Oryzias latipes: one gene and its partner. The protein of the gene in region 1 binds, or shares a complex with, the protein of each later gene. Links are inferred from orthologs where the notes say so. Each region holds a gene or a part of one and is shown on either strand. Other genes may lie near its edges.

Region 1 (8,780 bases):
GAAGGATAAGATCATCTCTTGCACTTGAGCCTCAATGTTTTCTGGCTGGTCTCCAACAGGAACCTAAAGCAAAAACAAGAGGCATTCAACATTAAACCCAGGCAGATGTTTGGATGAAATGAACATGGATTGCAGATACAGATGTTTGCACAAATCAAAAAGTAAAGATAAAAAAAAAAATTGCATTTTTGTCAGATTACTGAGTTCACCTTGATAATTCCAGGTAAATCAACCAGAGTGAGATTCAGAACTTTGGGGGAGAATATCTTCAAATATATGGGCTCACAAGTGATTCCCTGGAAAACAAGAAAGAAAAGAAAACATGATTATTATGTAAAACCAAAATATTGCAGGTCAGTAAGGTTATACAAAAGCCTTTTTCTCACTTTGTTGTCCCCCGAAGTGCGCTCTGTCTCTGCTTCGATTTCTTTACGAATTTCCAGAAAATCTGTGAAGATCTGTTAAGAAAGGCACACCCATCAAACATCAGAAAGCTTGCAAAACAAAGGAAGCAGAAGCATAACAAGAATAAAAATGATGAACATACCTGGTTCTTACAATGCAGAAATGTGCCCCATTCTTCAGCTTTGACACCTGAATAGAAAATAAGAGCATAAAAGTGTCAGGGATGAAGAATTAAAGTATAAAAGAATGGAATATGAATTTAAAAAAAAGGATTTGGCAAAAACATAATGAAAATAAACTGAATTAACTAAATGAGTGAGACGGTTAATGGTAAACATGAAGAAGTAGAAACTTTTTCTCATGCAGATCAAATATAGTGACCTGTGTAGCTGTTTTGAATATTTTGTTTAAGCCCATTTCCTAAAAAGTAGTAAAGAAAAAGAGGAAGAAAATGTGTTAGTTCAGAAAAACCCTGTATCAAAACCAAGTGACAGAGAGAAGTGCATAGAAAGATTTCAACATAACTCAATGCTGTGAGAGAATTATAAGCCTAAGTGTTTTACATCGAATTGAGTTATCATTGAGTCATAATCTGTTTACCATGCTCATTCTTCAGCCTTTCCTGTTGTGGAGCAACATTGACGAGCTGCAACACAAGGGGTCGTCTTGTGACTATTCCAGATCCCCGAGGCAAAAAATCCCTTCCGACCAGGCTCTCTAGCACTGAGCTTTTTCCACTGCTCTGTTATAAAAACAACGACAGCACATGAGTAATAACAGGACATCATCTATTTTTAATTTAAAAAGAACTTTTTAACTAGAACCCTGAACTGGGTGAAACCATACTTTAGTATACATCTACTCTGGATGATTATCCAATAATCAAGACAAGATAAGTGTACAAACACAACATTGTTTTCACTCAGTTTTCCAATTCTGGTTTCCATCCACTGACCTGAGTCCCAACCACGACTATCTGAGGCAGCTGTATGATCTCTGTCCCGACCGTCTGAAAGACCTCTTGCAGCCGGTTGATGGTGGGAATCAAAGTTTCCATCTTTCCAGTCGTCTCTCCTACTGTTGGTGAACACATGAGGGATGTGAACAGAAACATCAAGACACTCAACAACGAGAAACAAGGCTGTTTGCTTCATGGATGCAACCATCTCTAACATGTTTAATTGATAACCTTAGGCTTAGCTCTAAGGAACAGGATCTTCAGTTTTCCTCCTCTGTGGCGCGTTGCTATCCTACTAAGGCTTTTCTCCAGGGAGAAGTGGTCCTGATGATCATGATGAGAGGACTCAACGCCTCAACTCGACCAACATCGGATACAATGTACTACTTACTAGCTTGAAGGGATTTGAAATTTAAAATTAACTATTGATTGCCGGTAGCAAAGGTGACAGCACGTACATTTTAGACATTTGTTATCGACAAAGTCCGAGGTAATAAATGTTATCTGCTAACGCTCGCTGGATGAATGCAGGAAGTACAGTATGTGCTGCTAGCTTCATGCTAACATTAGCTTACTGGCCATAAATAAATAAATAAACCCGATATTACATTCTTACCTTTTCAGTGTTTACGAATATATCCACCCCTATCCGACTATTCTATGTTTCATACTTTAAATTATGCTAAATATGTTTAAAATACACCATTTTATAGGAGCTGGTTTACAAGTAACCAGAACATAAAGCACAGACCAAATGCTTGGAAAGAGGGGCGGAGCGTTGGTGGCAACCCACCTGATTGGTCAAAAAACATAGATCACGTGTCTTGCTATTGCTTCATTGGCTCCCTTAATTGTTCTCGCCCAGCGGTAAAATAAAATGTCCCGCCTTGCGACATTCTCTTCAGTCTTCCTTCTCCTTGTTTCCAAACCGGCAATATTTACACAAAACACAACTATTTCTCACAATACAACGTAAAAAAAACAAAAAAACGTAGTAATTTCTTGATCTTTTATTGTCGTCATATATAAACAATATTTACAAATCGCACAATGGCCATCTGAACAATAAAAGATGTGTGTATTCTTTTATCCCACGTTTAAATGAAAAAAATAAAATAAAAACAGGCATCATTCAACGCTGACATGAATAATAAATAGTCTCAAGTGGAAGTTAGTGTTGCCTGGAATTGCAGCAGCCAGAAATCAAGCAACATTAGCACGAAACAATGTTTTTGTGTTTTGATTTTACACAAAAAAAACTAGTCTTTCAACAAATGGTGTCAATATTAAAAATAGAAGAGAAAACACACATGAGAAAGCCCTATTGCTGAGATAAACATTAGTCACTGACACAAGTCAGCAATATCAATAATCACTGATTAGGCACACATTGTATTCTCAATGGCCTCACATTTATTTTCCCAAACATGTAGTTTCTCCTAAATCTATTCATACAAAGTAGATTTAGGTTTTCCAATGCTAGTCCATGTAGGAGGTGTCCATGCTCTCGCTGTCAGGGTGAAGCAATCGCACTGCTAGTCGTTCAATGTCATCCAGGCTGAGCTGTCGAAGTGAACGTTCATAGTCCTAAAAACAAACAAAAACAAAGTTTAGTAATAACAAAGAGGAGCTTAACTGTCAAGCTCACAACATGACAAATTATTTTAAATAGTTAAAATAGACATTCGTTTTGTAATATAATTTATATAGTGGGTTTGAAAGGCAGTAACAGAACTTTAACCATTACAACTTTTGGGAAACCATGAATAAAAACTTATCTTACCTTTATAAGCTGTTCATGAACTTTTGCTGCATCTGCTGGACTGAAGTGTCTAGCAAGTATAGTGGACACAGTCTGCCACAGTCCTCCCATGTTCCTGCTGCTGCAGCCAGTCACTGCTGAGGCTGCAGATCTTTCTCCTGCAGGACGGATTACTAGGTTCAATTTAGCCTCTGGTCCAATGGAATAATCACTAAGTCTGTGTTCATCTGAAAGAAAAAAGGGCATACAGAAAGATAAATTATGAACCTGACAAAAGTATAAAGGAAAGAAAAAAAAGTAGTAGGCAAATTTTACCTGCCAGTGCCTTTCCTTTGTAAAGCAGCCGCTGCTGGTTTGCTGGTATGTTGAGTTGCTCAGAAACAAGTTCCTTCACTGTGGAAACCTTTTCATCTTCTGTCACCTGTGGGATAAAAACAAATTCTTAAACTGTAATTTAAACAAGAACAATAGAGTCAACTGGTATAGAAAGACTGCGGGGAAAACAAGTTCTAAGGATGCAATAATAAAAAAAATGAATACATAAAAACAGTATTAAACGGGCAAAATAAATAATTCATTTTATGTAATAAAGTAACAAAGTACCTATTGTGAAAACGTTTTATCAGCTCAAGACAAAAACATTTGTTACAATAATTCAAAACAATTACAAATATATTGTTTATTCAAAGCCTTCGTATTTTTTTCGAAATGTGCCGAAAACTCACTGTCTTGTCTGGGATAAAATTCTCGGCTTAAAATCTAATTCAATAGATGTCTTAAATGGCTTTGTATGACCAATTTTAAGTGCACATGTTTGACTTAATCTGAAGAACAGCCATATATAATGTATAATGTGTAATTACCGCTACACTTTAAAGTTGGCATTAAAGAAAAAAAACATGATCATAAGTACTACGGTACTCAAAATAAGAACAACACAAAACCAAAAAAATGTTTTGGTTAAAAAAAATTATAAATAGAATATATAACTACATAATTAAAAAAGTTAATGAAGTGCTGTGGAGTTTTAAAATGATTACTTTATGTAAATGAAAAATATATACAATTCTAAATTTGTGATAAGAGAAGCAGGTTCATAATGCTGCTTTCATGCAACTGTATGTCTTAACTGATTTGACACAAAGGCACATCCAGGAGCAGCAAATATAACTGCTGAACTGTAAAATAATACCAACACCGTTTTTTGTTTCAACGCGCTGACCAAACAAAGTCCTCTAATACACCGCGGTTCCTTACTCACTTCTCTTTACTGCATTAGCACCAAGTAAGGAGTAACAACAACTTCCACTCAGCTGCTGGGCGTGACCTCAGCGAGAATGATTCAGACAGAAAGAGTTCTTCGTCTTGCATTTCTAAATTAGCTAACATGCTAGCTGCGGTAAAGCTGCTTTAGAACTATAAACGGGTGTGTATATGTACAACCGCATCTTTAGTACTGGTTAGTGTTAGAGTTACAGTCACTAATAAATTAAATTTATGTTCACTTTATTCAAAGCACTTTAAAAAACTTATGATGCTGAGCGGCTAACAGATATACCCGGCTAGCTGATTGTGCAAATTAGCATTATGGAGTTCGATTTTTTAACTAACCTGAACACTGCACTCCTTCCCTTGAAGTGGCTTTACTGTAAGAATCATTTTTCAACACTCTCACTAAAAACAAAAACACACAATAATGTGATTAAAGTCCAGCCAAAAGGGTTACTAAGTTTGCTCGTTATAGCCACACTGGCTGTGGTCCCGTCAGCGTCCCATCTTCTTCTCCTGTTTCCTCTCAACGATGCCACTGCCTCTGTTGCTGACATCAAGTAATGCTGCTGCCGCCTACTGGCATGAAGGATGTACCGCAGCTAAGAAGAAATGACACCACGATTAAAGTTCAATTAAAAGTTTATCGGAACTAAAGTGGTTAGGCGATGATATCCAAATTGATCTCCTAAGCAGGATACTGTGCCAATACACCTGTACACACATGGGTGTTTTTTTTCCTTTGACAGACAAAAAACATGGTGATAAACTTTTGTCATTACATTACATTTGAATAGTAACGTGTTTGTCAATTTGAAAAGAAAATTGGATCCGACTCACCTGTAGATTACTGTTACAATTTACCCATAATTACCTGACCACCTTCTATTGCTTATGTTCAATACACAAAAAGATTTTCACAAAAAATGCGTTTACAGCATTGACATTTTTTTAATGTCCAAAGTCGGGCAGATGCTCGTTCTTTTTTCTTTCCGAAAGCAAAATTTAGTGTCAAATTTTCCCATTAGAACTACTTTCCTCTGACCCAGTTCGGATCCAGCCTGTGCATGTGTCATTCTGTTCCCCCTCCTCGTGGTTGGAGGGAGCCCGCGTCACGTGACCGCCTGTCTGCGCTGTGGGCATTCCTCCTGACCAGCATCCTTCACTTGAGGACGCCAGGCGGACTGCTCACCTACACCGGTGAGTAGCATTTGTGTACCATCCATCAATTAGGTGTTGAAAAAACAATGGATCTGTGGCTGAGTGTAATTAAATTTAAGATGATAAAGACAATTTATCTTTGTTATTGTTTTTTTCTCTTTTGACAATTTTTATATAGCCTACATAAAACCTTGCAGCTTCACATAAAACGTACATAATAAAAAAAAGTATAATTTGTTTACTCTGAAAATGTATTCTTTTTAGTGGGATAAACTTATGATGCACTTGACAATGAATTGTTTTTGCCTTTAACCTGGATGGAAATGTGTGCTACAATTGCAAGGCAGCATTTTGACATAGATAGATATGCATAATATTTTTCATATTTAAGTTTGTGAAATAAAAAATTACAATTTCTTTTTTATTCTCATAGCAACGAGCTGTTTATCTTTGTGCTTTCCTGGCTGATGCCTGCAGATCATGGGTACACTGAGGGACCTCCAGTTTGCTCTGCAACTAAAAATCGAGGAGCTCCGCCAGAGAGACACACTCATAGATGAGTTGGAGCTTGAACTGGATACAAAGGATGAACTCATTCGAAGGCTACAGGAAGAACTGGACCGTTACAGGACCACTGTTTGCCTCTCAGGACCCTCACCCAGTGCAGGTAAAGAGTAGGTCAATCATTTAAAAGTACAGGTTGTAGACGTGACCTAAAAATCTCAATTATTTTTTATAGCTCCTCAAATTGAGGGCATGGAGCGAGCTAAAAAGCACACAGTCATTTCAGAACCCTTCAGCCCGGACCCCGTGACTCTCGCCAGGATTTCACACAAAAGCTGTGACAAAAGTCAACAGTAAGAGCACACTGTGTTCCTCCAACTTCAGCTAAGAAGGCCAACTTTTCAAATTTTTTAGCATCACTCAATGGTCAAGCATTTTGAGTCAGCATTTGTGGCTTGTGGCGCGGCATTTAAGGTGATTGACAGCTACACTCGGAGTGTTGCATCTTTATCATCCCTGTGTGTCATCAGATCTCAAAGCCTGATCCAGGCAGGGCTTTTGAAAAACGACCTGTTGAAGAACTTAGACGAAGGAGAAATGAGAGCTGTCACATCCTGCACATATCGCTGCTCCATCAATCAAAACTGCACTCTCATACAGGAGGGGAGCGCTGGGGAGCAGGCTTTTATTTTAGAAGGTAAATTGCTGCCATCTGTCATCCTTAAGATTATTTATTAGAGGTTTCTTGTGAGGAAAGTGGCTAAAATAATTTGTTTTCACCAACAACTGCTTTTTAAAACTCATTTTGCAGCTTGTTTTTTTTTTTTTTTGCATTTGATGACAGCTTTATGGTTTAAAGCACACAAATAGCTCCCGCTTAAAGACGGGGAACATGAACAAGAATACCAGGAGAAAAGAGGTCATGAACTGAACGTAGATTTCATCAGAGAGGAAGCTGCCTCCTGCTTTCAGTCTTGTCACTTGAACCATCTTTTGTGCATGAAGTGCGCATCAAGCTGACAGTTACTTTTATCCGACATGGATTCTATACTATCAATGTGCTCCTTTTTCCTACTAAGTGTGTGATGTTGACAGAAGGAAGATTGAGCGTGACTCAAGACGGGTGCAAGCTGCTGACAATTGAACCAGGGGATACGATTGGCGAGCTGGCACTCCTCTACAACTGCACTTTCCCCTTTTCTGTCTCTGGTAAGTTGTGGGATGATAGGATAAGATGCCTCAAAGTGGAAGCATGCTCTTTGAATAATTCTTCAATCTAAAATCAACAAGGACAGCTTTTGGCTTAAGTCATTTTGACCGTAAAACATATTTTGATTTGAATAACCCAGCACTTCTCTTCCCTGCAGTTCTGGATTTAGCGACACATTTCAACCCATTTTGTCGACCTTTTTAAAGATTTGTGATATTTTCATGACATAGTAAGTGTCACATCCTTTCTTCATATCTAATCTTGAAGCTCTATGGGGGAAACTCTGTCGTTACCCCAAGCCTCTGACCTGGTTTCACAAATAAATGCAGAATCTCATCCCATCAACCCATTTTCTGATCTATTTTGGCGTCACAGGGCTGCCGGAGCCCATCCCAGTCACTGTTGGGCAAAGGTTGGATATACCTTGATGGTTTTTGCGGTCCATTGCAGTGACACACACATATTCACACCTTGGGACAATTTAGAGTCATCAATTGACTTAAGATGCATATTTGTGGACACTGGGAGGAAGCCAGAGTGTCTGGAAAAACCCACACATGCACTGGGAGAACAGGCAAACTCCACACGGAAAAGATCCTGCTGGGATTTGAAGCAGGACCTTCTCACTCACTATGAGGTGATAAGATCAATTTGTGGGAAAAAAGAATTTCAATCACTATCTATGAGTTCAATTATCTTAATTGACTTTATGAACCAGATTCCTGCTTCTGTGAATATCCAGGCTGCCGAGTGTCTGCTTTCAGTCTGCTCTTCATCTCATGTAATTCTTTTGTTCGTCTGAATGATGATACTGTGCAGATGGCAGCATGTAATCAGGAAGAAAAATGATGAGAATAGGGAGAAAAATTGTGCTTCAAGACAAACAATTTGGTGAAGCTGTAAAGTGGAAGCTCACGGTTAATATCGGAACATTAAAATTGAAACGTTTTGAGTCGCACCGTTTATTAGCTGCTGGATCCACTCTGACTGTCTCGACGATAACATCTTTTATTTGCAGGAAGCTTTTGTGAAGCAATCAATATCAGCACTTACTCTTTTACACCATCGTCAAACGCTGAATATAGAGTATTTATTGCTAAAGGATTCGATTTATGTCTTGTGAAACGACAGCTATTAACTCTGATTTACCCGCTTGCTTTTTAGGTCTCAGCTGATATTTAATTGTGAATCTCAAACCACTGCAGGCGGCATGTACTGTCTCTCCTCAGCAGCTTCTCCACTTTACTTCAGGTGTCGCTGACAACAACCTTCACATTTTTCTCTGCTTTTGTCTCAGCACAATCGGACTGTAAGCTGTGGACTATTGACCGCAAGAGCTTTCAGACTGTGCTGATGCACTGCAGTCTCAGCCGCCTTTCTCATTCAGTGGAGCTGCTCAGAAGGTGAGTGTCAACCAGAGAAATCGAACAAAGCAGCCTCAGACGATGAGTTTTAATTCACGGAACACCTCAAGGGTTTTATTTTTTTGTCGAACATCTATATTAAATGAA
Region 2 (8,195 bases), on another chromosome or scaffold:
TAACCTTTCAGCTTGTTGCTTCAGGGAGTCTCTCCATCTGAACATCCCTTCTGCCTCCTTTCAATCACACCACCAAGGAGCATTTCAAAACTATTTCTTTTAAGTAAAAATTCTGTCATTGAATTAGTTTTTGGTTCCATCTGCTCTTTCTGCTGATTTGCCACTGCTTCTGTTTTAGCTGACCATATTCTCCGCTACTCTTGTAGATGTGGCTGGAAAGGTGATTCACCTTGTGGAGCGGGCCCCCCCTCCACCCTCCCAGCCTGGCTCGGGGTCAGGGGCCACCGCAGCCGACAGCGGGCAGTCTTCATCCTCCCAGGGAGCATCGCAGGTGCCTCCACACGATCGCAATGCCAACAGCTATGTCATGCTTGGAACCTTCAACCTCCCCGTCAATATCATGGACCCCCAGCAGATACAGGTAGGTCTGCATTGTTGGTGTGCGTTGTCAGGGATGAAGGCAGCACTGCTCAACAGATGACGAGATTCCAGTTGCTCAGGGCAACTAAACTCTGTGTTTCGGCATGAAGATCTGAGTTCAGTCAAGTTGAAACATTACTTTTCTAAACGGCTGCCTTCAATCTGCCATGAGGCTGTCTGCTTTTGTTAACAACCTTTGATCACAAACCTGCAGGAAATTTTTCTTAAAAGGACCAAGTCTTCTGGATCAAAATGACATGAAAGTCAGATGGGTTCGTTCAAAGTGAAAATAAAACCACAGGGATTGATTTCAGATTTTAAAACCATCTAGATGTAGTCGGTTTATCACGCAGAGCACAAGTGAATTGTTCTGTGTGATCTCTGCATTGTTTTCATCTCAGCATTTTCCACTATGTCCGATCATATTGTGTGGAGATGTTAAAGGGAAAATGGACAAAGATGGACTTTAGAGACTCCGGCATATGAACTCTGTTCATGTCATCTTGATGGGTTTGCTAAATTATCCTAAAAACAAATACATTTAAAGCTGCAACGACTGTTGAATGACCATTGCCACCCTGCACCATGGGCCCATCAACAGCCCCCCAGGTCTGTCTGCTGCCCCCAGCAGCTTCTCCTCGGCCTGTGCTGCAACAGAACAGGATTAAGGCGTGATGCTCATCCTCTAACTCTGCAGCCCCATCTGAAAATGGTGCCACAGTAAAACCCCACCCGCTCCTCTACATTCCATGGTCCATGACATCAGTGAAGATGGAGCATAAAGAAATTTAATGATTTTTACTGGATGGCTCTTTCTTAGGGGATATATATATATAAAAAAAAGGTTTTACTGGCCCAATTTTACTTAGTTTTTTTTGTTGGAAGAGAACAAATCGTTTACTTTTTATGACAAATTTTTGAATCAGTTTTGCGGATTTTCATGCATATTAGGGGTCTAATTAGGTCTCAAAGAGGGAGAAAGTAAAATAATAAATAATAACAATTGCAATTATGACTCTTAGTCCACTTTGTGATTGCTTGAAGACTGTGGTTTAAGCCGAAAATTACTCAATGATATGATAAAGTATATAATACTTATATAATAAAGACACTAACTGTACATTAAAGCTGTGTGATTCTTGTGTCTCCTAGATGTCTGTTCAGCAGATGGTCTCTGGAATGGGAGATAATGCAAGAAATGCTCGAGTCACAGCCAGTACTGGAGTAAGTAATAGAAGCTCCCTTCTATTCTTTAAAAGCTCGTCAAAAAACAGGATTTGAAACAAAAACCTTTTCTTTCCTGTTGTGACTGCTCTCAGAGCAACGGGTCTGTAAACGTTCACATCGACATGGACCAGCCGGTGCAGAGCGAACCCAGGCTGAGGCTGGTTCTGGCCGAGAATCTGCTGCGAGACCTCAACGATGTCATCAGCAGGATGGAGGCGAGCCACTGCGCCACAGGAGTCTTTATCTCCCAACCGCCATTCACTGACATTTGTCGTTTTTAGGGTCGACAGAGCGATTCCCAAACCTCCCAATCAGAGACGGCCTCTGCTGCTGCTCCGCCTCCTCCCTCTTCTTCCTCCACAAGCTCCACCCCTTCTCCCTCCACTCAGCCCATGGACACCTCACCTCCTCCAACAACTCCACCCACCTTCTCTGCTCAGTCTGAGGGACCCACTCCACAGCCAGGACCCAAGTGAGAGATTGAATTCAAAAGATTCACGAGAATTTTATTTAGTTTGATGATATTTGAAGGCCGTCTGTTTAAACAAGTGATCAGCTCATAAAACCAACGATTTATTGATTTGAGAAGCTGATAAGTTTTCTTATCCCCACACCTCTAGACTAAACATTAGAGGTTCCACCAAAATATTGAAATAATTCAAATTTATGTTTCTATTTGGTCAAATATCAATCTATTTTTCAAATTTCATTTAAAGTCGTTTTTTGTGTAGTTATGAAAACATTTGTTACATGACAGATATCAACTAAACAAAGGAGATTCTTTCCTTAATAAATGATACATTTTTATAATTAAAAAATATAATTATTAAAATAAAAATCCAACCTTATGACATATCCTCCGGGTTTTTTTTATATTAAAAGTTTCTTAACTTAACTAACTAAATGTACTTCTAACCCAGCTTTAATCTAGTCTACAGTAGATAAATTATTTTTATATCTGTTTTATTTGTTTGCTGTCGTTGCCCCCCCACCCCTGCAGTCACCCCAGCCCCGCTGAGCTGGCAGAGATGTTGTCAGAGCTGCGGAGAGTCGAGGAGAGGCTGCAGCCTTTCATCCAGAGAGCGCACGGCATCTTGGAGACGGCGGCGGCGGCCGAGTACAACAATGACACAGTAATGCAGCACCCCTGCATCACGAGGCGCTCTGTCGCTGTAATGTTTGTGTTGGCGTGACTAAATATTACATTTTTATGTTGTTCTCCGTGCAGGAGCGGGAGGACGACCAGAGGACCCTCATCCAGATGTGCGAAGGTCTCCGGCTCCTTGGCAATGCCCTGGTTGCCCTCAGTGATCTTCGACTGAACCTCTTGAGCCCGATCCCCCGACATTTGCATGTGGTGCGGCCCTTTTCCCACTACGCCAGCCCGGTCACTCTGCCCAGCGCCGTGCATCACCATGTCCCAGTACAAGTACGTCACAGTCGTCAGTTTTCAGGTCGGTGCCCCCGCTCGCACACTTCCACTGACCTCTCTGCGCTTCACTCACAGATGAACCTGGGGGCCACAGTGACTGTTGCGGCCAACAGCACTGAGGGACAGGCTCCGCCCACACAACCGTCCGGCCAAGCGGAGCAGGCAGGTCAGGGACAGACCCCCCCCGCACAGACTTCCCCGTCCAATCAGCCGCCGGGACAGGGACAGGGACAGGCTGGCCCCCGGGTCATCAGGATCAGCCACCAGGCAGTCCCGGTGGTCATGATGCAGATGAACGCGGACGGTGTGTTGTCCCAGACGCGCTGATTGAGTTTTCATCGCAGCAGTTCTGGGTTTCAGCAGCTGCCGCTGAAGTCTTCGGCTGCAACATCCATGACGCTCCGGAAATGACCGACGTGTTTGTGTTTGTGATCGCAGGTCCCAGCCCCAGCCCTGCAGCGGGGGGACAGCCGATCCCGGCACAGCCAGGTGAGGGTCGGCTGTGGCTTCGTTTCCGTCTCTGGATCATATTCTTCTGACCTTGTCCCCTCTGCCCCCGTTCAGGTGGTCTGCCCCCGGACTTCATGCGGAACCTCATGCAGCAGATCAGTCAGTACGCGGCGGCTGTCGCCACCAGCGCCGCCACCGCTGCTGCTACTGGACAGCCGGCCGCCCCCCAGCCCACCCCTCCTGGTCAGAGCTCCACTCCCAGCTCCTCAGCTGCTACAACGGGTCCCAACACCCCCACTACCACCCCAACCGCTCCCCCTCCACCGTCCCACGCCAGCCCGCAGCCTCAAGCCAGGGTGGTGTTCACCCGACCTTCTTTCACCACCAACATTGCCCCCCCGGCCTTCGGGACCCGTGGAACCACCATCAACGTGAGGGCGGCCATGCCGGGCCAGCAGCAGGGGCAGGTGGGGCGCCGACTGTTTGGACTCTTTCTGATTCATGCAGGAAACTGACGGCCTTTTCCTCGCAGGCTTTCAATCCGGTGGCATTTAACCAGATGATCACCGGGCTGGTGGGACAGATGCTGCTGCCGGGGCAGATGGGTAATGACCTCACTCGTAACCAGAAGAATTAAAAGACCGTTGTCTTTTCTAAATGGTTAAAGAGGAACTTCTGCTTTTTCCAGCCGGTCAAACGGTCACCTCTTCCACTGCGTCCACATCCTCCTCTTCCTCTCAGACTTCCTCCTCCTTCTCCTTCTCCACCTCGGGTCCAATGCCTCCATCTGCAAACGCCCCACCCACCCAGGACCAAGGGGAGGCCGGCGGCAGCGAGCCCCAGCCGCAGGAAATCCCCCCCGACATCAGTCAGCTCATGAGCTCGCTCTTAGGCGGTGCCAGTGGCGGAGCCCCCTCCATAACCGTGACCACGTCCGGAGTCCCCGCCTTCCTCCAAGGCATGAGTGAGTTCATGCAGCAGGTGGGTGTTTGCGGCGTGAAAACAGCACAGAAACGATGAAGGTGATTCTTCCCGGCTGAGATCGTCTGTATTTCTGTGGCCCTCCAGCCGATCTTCCCCACGCCCCCCTCTGGAACCCCCGCAGCCCCCGCTGCAGGGGCCACCTCTGCTCCCAACCCGGCTGCAGGCGCGTCCGAGTCCATCAACCCGGAGCTGTTCACCGGCATCGTCCGTGGCGTCCTGAGCACGCTGATGGGCTCTCTGGGCCAAACGCAGAACGACTCTGAGAGCATCGCTCAGTTCATGCAGAGGCTGTCCCAGGCCACCAACATCTTCATCAGCACCGAAGAGCCCACAGGTGCGTTTAGTCGGCAAGCCTCAGCGCATTCTGCACCCGCAGGAGGACTCATCTCTCCTCTTTGTTGTGGATGTCAGGTTTCTTCGGGGAGCTGCTGATGCTGGTGTGTCAGCTCTTCACCATGTCGGACCTGGTGATGCTGCTCCACGGACAGCACCAGCCGCTGAGCCGCATCCAGCCCATGCTGTCGCAGTTCTTCACCGAGAACTACCTCAGCGGCAGAGAGCCCACCGACCAGAACATCGCTGTCAGTCCTCCTGCTTCATGTCTGCAGATTTTTAACCTGGACCCTCTGTTCATCGGTTCTCCTGCTTCCTTCCCACAGGCTGCTGCTGACAGTCTGGTTAATGAACTGGAGGAGTACATCACTGAGAGCTTCGTAAGTCATCACTTTACATCCACTAAGCAGCTTTCTCATTTACACTCTGGAGGCTGAACTTTAAGCTTTTTCTGCAAATTTGTGTTCATGGCAAACGTCTGAATCTACAGGTTACGACTTTGTTTAAACCCACATACGACAAAAATTCACCTTTGATGAATCCTGACTGTCACCATAAACCATTATTAGTGCCAAACTCCACCTTATTGAAATATCTAAAGCCTCAGATGAAATAATTCTATTTACAAACGTATAGAGACGAGAATCCAGAGTCAAAAAACACATTTGATCATATTTGTCATCCTCCTGACTTGGAGGTCGTTCCTGAAATTCACTGACTGTGACACAAGGGGGCGACATTCTAACAGCAGGAGGAGCCAGAGAGGATTTTTTTTTAAACTATTTCAGATAAAAGCTTAAAAAATGTTTTTGTCAAAATTCTGACTACTGAAAAACAATTTAAAGCTAAAAATAATAAATTTCGGCAGGTCAAGTTAAAGATGGAAGATTTTTTTCTCCCATAAACTGGATTTTACCTGCCAGGGAAAGAATTGGCACATAAAAAAACATGAAGTTTTCTACAGTAACTATTTATAAATCGTTTAATCTAAAGAGAGAAAAACACAAATCTTTAAAAAATAATGGAACATTTGCTGTAATTATTTTGAACAGAGTAAAATTTTTGGCAGATTTTAGACCCAAACCAACCTTCACCATGTCTGAAGGATTTGTAGCCTTTTCATTTTAACTAACAGAAATATTGAATATGTTTAAAGAAAACATCCAAATTTGCCAAAATATAAGCTAGAACTTTTAAGAGCTCAACATTTTTGTACCAGAATGGTTAAAACTGACTGAAAACACGGTGAGAACTGGAGCTTTTTCTTCAGGTGAACAAACAGTTTTCCTGGTTGTTCAGAACAGCAGCTTTCTTTGAACAGAGAGAGTCTTCAGTTGCTGTGCTGGACGAAGTGGACGTCACCCAGACCAACATGGCCTTCTTCAGACATCACCTGACCACCATCGCCACACACATCCTTCACTGCACAGGTGAGCAGCGTCACAGATTAGAAACAAAACGTTGGCGTGAATGTGAGGAAACGGCTGATGGTGGATCTAATGCCACCTCTCTGTTTTTAGATGAGACTTTTGGACCCACGCTGCTGAGGATGTGCAACCGCGCGCTCTTCGAGTGTCTCGCTCTGAACCTGCACTGCCTGAGAGGAGACCAGAGGGCTCTGACCGCCGTCATCAACCACCGGATTGTGAGTTTCCTTCTGCTGGTGTGAGAGTTCAACGCACAAGTCTGATGTTTTAAAGTGGCATCAGGTAGTTTAACCTGCAAGAACGCCGACCCATTTTTTATTATTGGACTTTGTCACAGTCCAAGTGGATCATGTGACACATTTCTGATGCATTTCTGTTACACTGATGTCACCATCTGTGTAACCTTATGGTTTAAGGTTTAGGAAATGAATAAATATGTGTCAACACAGATATCACCAGCCCAGTGATCATCAGGTTAAACGCCACTGTTTTTAGCCATAATCAAAAAACAGCATTGTCTTCAAAGGCTGAGTTTCTGCAGAGCAGCACGACTTCTGAGTTTGGGGACTGTTGGTCAGAGCTTTTAGCCCAGCCTCAGTATTTTCTATGTAGCAAATGAGCTCTTCTTCAAAGTGCTTTTTTTTTGGTCTGCTCCTGATTCACAGCGAATCATATAAAAAGATGCTCAGAAATGCAATTTGGAGCTTTTTTGTTCTTAATGTACCTCATCCATCATCAGGAAAAAAACACGATTAGAAACACTTTTCTTTAGAGTGGGTCTTTAAAGCTCTGGTTCAGATATAAATTGAATAAAAAACTAGAATGTTAATTGAAAAAAAAAATTAAAACTAGTTTGAAACTTAAAAGTAAATACTGTAAACCTTACAGAAATATTGTATGTTTGTGGAAAAAGAGATAAAAAACAAAAATTGAAAATAAAAAAACACATTTGTTACAAATAAATAAGACAAATTTTTGGTTTATTTCAATCCAAGTTTTCAGCATTTCTTCAAAAAAAAAGTATATATATATTTTTTTAATTCCAAATGGTCTTTTATTTCTTTCAAGTTTATAATGTGCACTTTTGAGTTTGTGTTTTTTAAAAACTGTTTCATTCCCGTTAAGCTGATCCTGCTGTGACCTCGTCTGTTTGCTGACGGCTCTTCTGCTTTGTTCCAGCGGCGCATGTCCACCGACATCAGTCCCAGCCTGGTGAACTGGATGACCAGCATGATGTCCATGAGGCTGCAGGTCATTCTGGAGCACAACCCCATCTCACAGGAGCAGATCCAGAGCTTCATCGTCCCCCTGCAGGTCGCTGCCACCGCCACGGCGCCACTCTCACGGCGGCCGGGTGTCGTGTTTCTGCGTAAATAATGCATTTCTTCTTCCCCAGAGAGATCAGTCGGCTGCGAGCGACACGCAGGAGCCTGAAGGAGCAGCGGTGAGTCTCGCCACAGTGTGTTCAGATGGACCGGGACCCCCCCCCCTTACCTTTCTGCCTCCTCAGATCGGGGACACTCATTCACCGGCCGCCGCCACCACAGCAGAGGAGGCCATGTCCGGGTCCCACGACATGGCAGCGCGGGAGACGAGGCCGTTGCCTGGAGACCTGGGAACGCTGGGCGGAGCTGCGCCGTTAGGCGGGGACATGGCGGGGGCGGAGGGAGGCAGCGAGGAGGCGTCAGGAGAGTCGGAGACGTGGGCTGCTTCTGTTCCCCCTGTAAGAGCGTCCCTCTGAACTCTTTGACTTTTCTGAAGTTAGTTCTCCTCTGGTCTTTGAAAGCACCAGAGAGGGAGGGGGTGTTGTTGCTGCTGTCACCCGGGTAACCCTCAGTAACAACCTGTTTGGCATCAAGTGGGCAGTAGGGGGCAGTGTTGCTCCACAGTTTCCACACGAGGAGCCTGGGACCAGAATCTGG

Evidence for each region.
Region 2: the proteins of ubl4a (region 1) and bag6 are in contact, whole or in part, in a crystal structure (PDB 4X86), measured with the Homo sapiens proteins. The link is inferred for Oryzias latipes from reciprocal best matches to the Homo sapiens genes UBL4A and BAG6. Residues at the interface, in NP_055050.1 of Homo sapiens: Val95, Leu98, Ile99, Val102, Leu103, Arg105, His106, Phe107, Ser108, Asp111, Arg114, Val115, Gln118, Leu119, Asp122, Tyr123, Glu124, Ser126, Leu127, Ser128, Leu130, Ile135, Leu138, Arg141, Phe142; in NP_001092004.1 of Homo sapiens: Gly1052, Pro1053, Leu1055, Leu1057, Ala1060, Val1061, Ala1064, Ala1065, Ala1067, Ala1068, Ala1070, Arg1071, Pro1072, Leu1073, Thr1074, Ser1078, Leu1079, Asp1082, Leu1083, Glu1087, Val1088, Ser1091, Tyr1092, Gln1095, Leu1096, Asp1099, Ile1100, Arg1103, Leu1104.

Annotation. Positions count from the first base shown.
Region 1 is NC_019867.2:16,992,580-17,001,359, reverse strand, and holds ubl4a (ubiquitin-like protein 4A), read right to left. Parts: upstream 4,933-8,780; 5' UTR 4,785-4,932; coding exon 4,737-4,784; intron 3,547-4,736; coding exon 3,441-3,546; intron 3,353-3,440; coding exon 3,147-3,352; intron 2,951-3,146; coding exon 2,843-2,950; 3' UTR 2,359-2,842; downstream 1-2,358. Other genes in the region: dynamin-1-like protein, read right to left, coding at 1-63, 210-296, 387-458, 548-594, 787-825, 1,006-1,147, 1,361-1,462; cGMP-dependent protein kinase 1-like, read left to right, coding at 6,036-6,222, 6,295-6,412, 6,590-6,756, 7,155-7,268, 8,567-8,672. UniProt on the Homo sapiens protein: As part of a cytosolic protein quality control complex, the BAG6/BAT3 complex, maintains misfolded and hydrophobic patches-containing proteins in a soluble state and participates in their proper delivery to the endoplasmic reticulum or alternatively can promote their sorting to the proteasome where they undergo degradation.
Region 2 is NC_019874.2:28,122,540-28,130,734, forward strand, and holds part of bag6 (large proline-rich protein BAG6), read left to right. Parts: intron 1-206; coding exon 207-421; intron 422-1,572; coding exon 1,573-1,644; intron 1,645-1,739; coding exon 1,740-1,862; intron 1,863-1,928; coding exon 1,929-2,119; intron 2,120-2,647; coding exon 2,648-2,780; intron 2,781-2,875; coding exon 2,876-3,076; intron 3,077-3,154; coding exon 3,155-3,383; intron 3,384-3,517; coding exon 3,518-3,568; intron 3,569-3,643; coding exon 3,644-3,996; intron 3,997-4,061; coding exon 4,062-4,134; intron 4,135-4,217; coding exon 4,218-4,510; intron 4,511-4,597; coding exon 4,598-4,847; intron 4,848-4,924; coding exon 4,925-5,094; intron 5,095-5,172; coding exon 5,173-5,226; intron 5,227-6,167; coding exon 6,168-6,276; intron 6,277-6,366; coding exon 6,367-6,491; intron 6,492-7,452; coding exon 7,453-7,587; intron 7,588-7,669; coding exon 7,670-7,717; intron 7,718-7,783; coding exon 7,784-7,996; intron 7,997-8,195. UniProt on the Homo sapiens protein: ATP-independent molecular chaperone preventing the aggregation of misfolded and hydrophobic patches-containing proteins.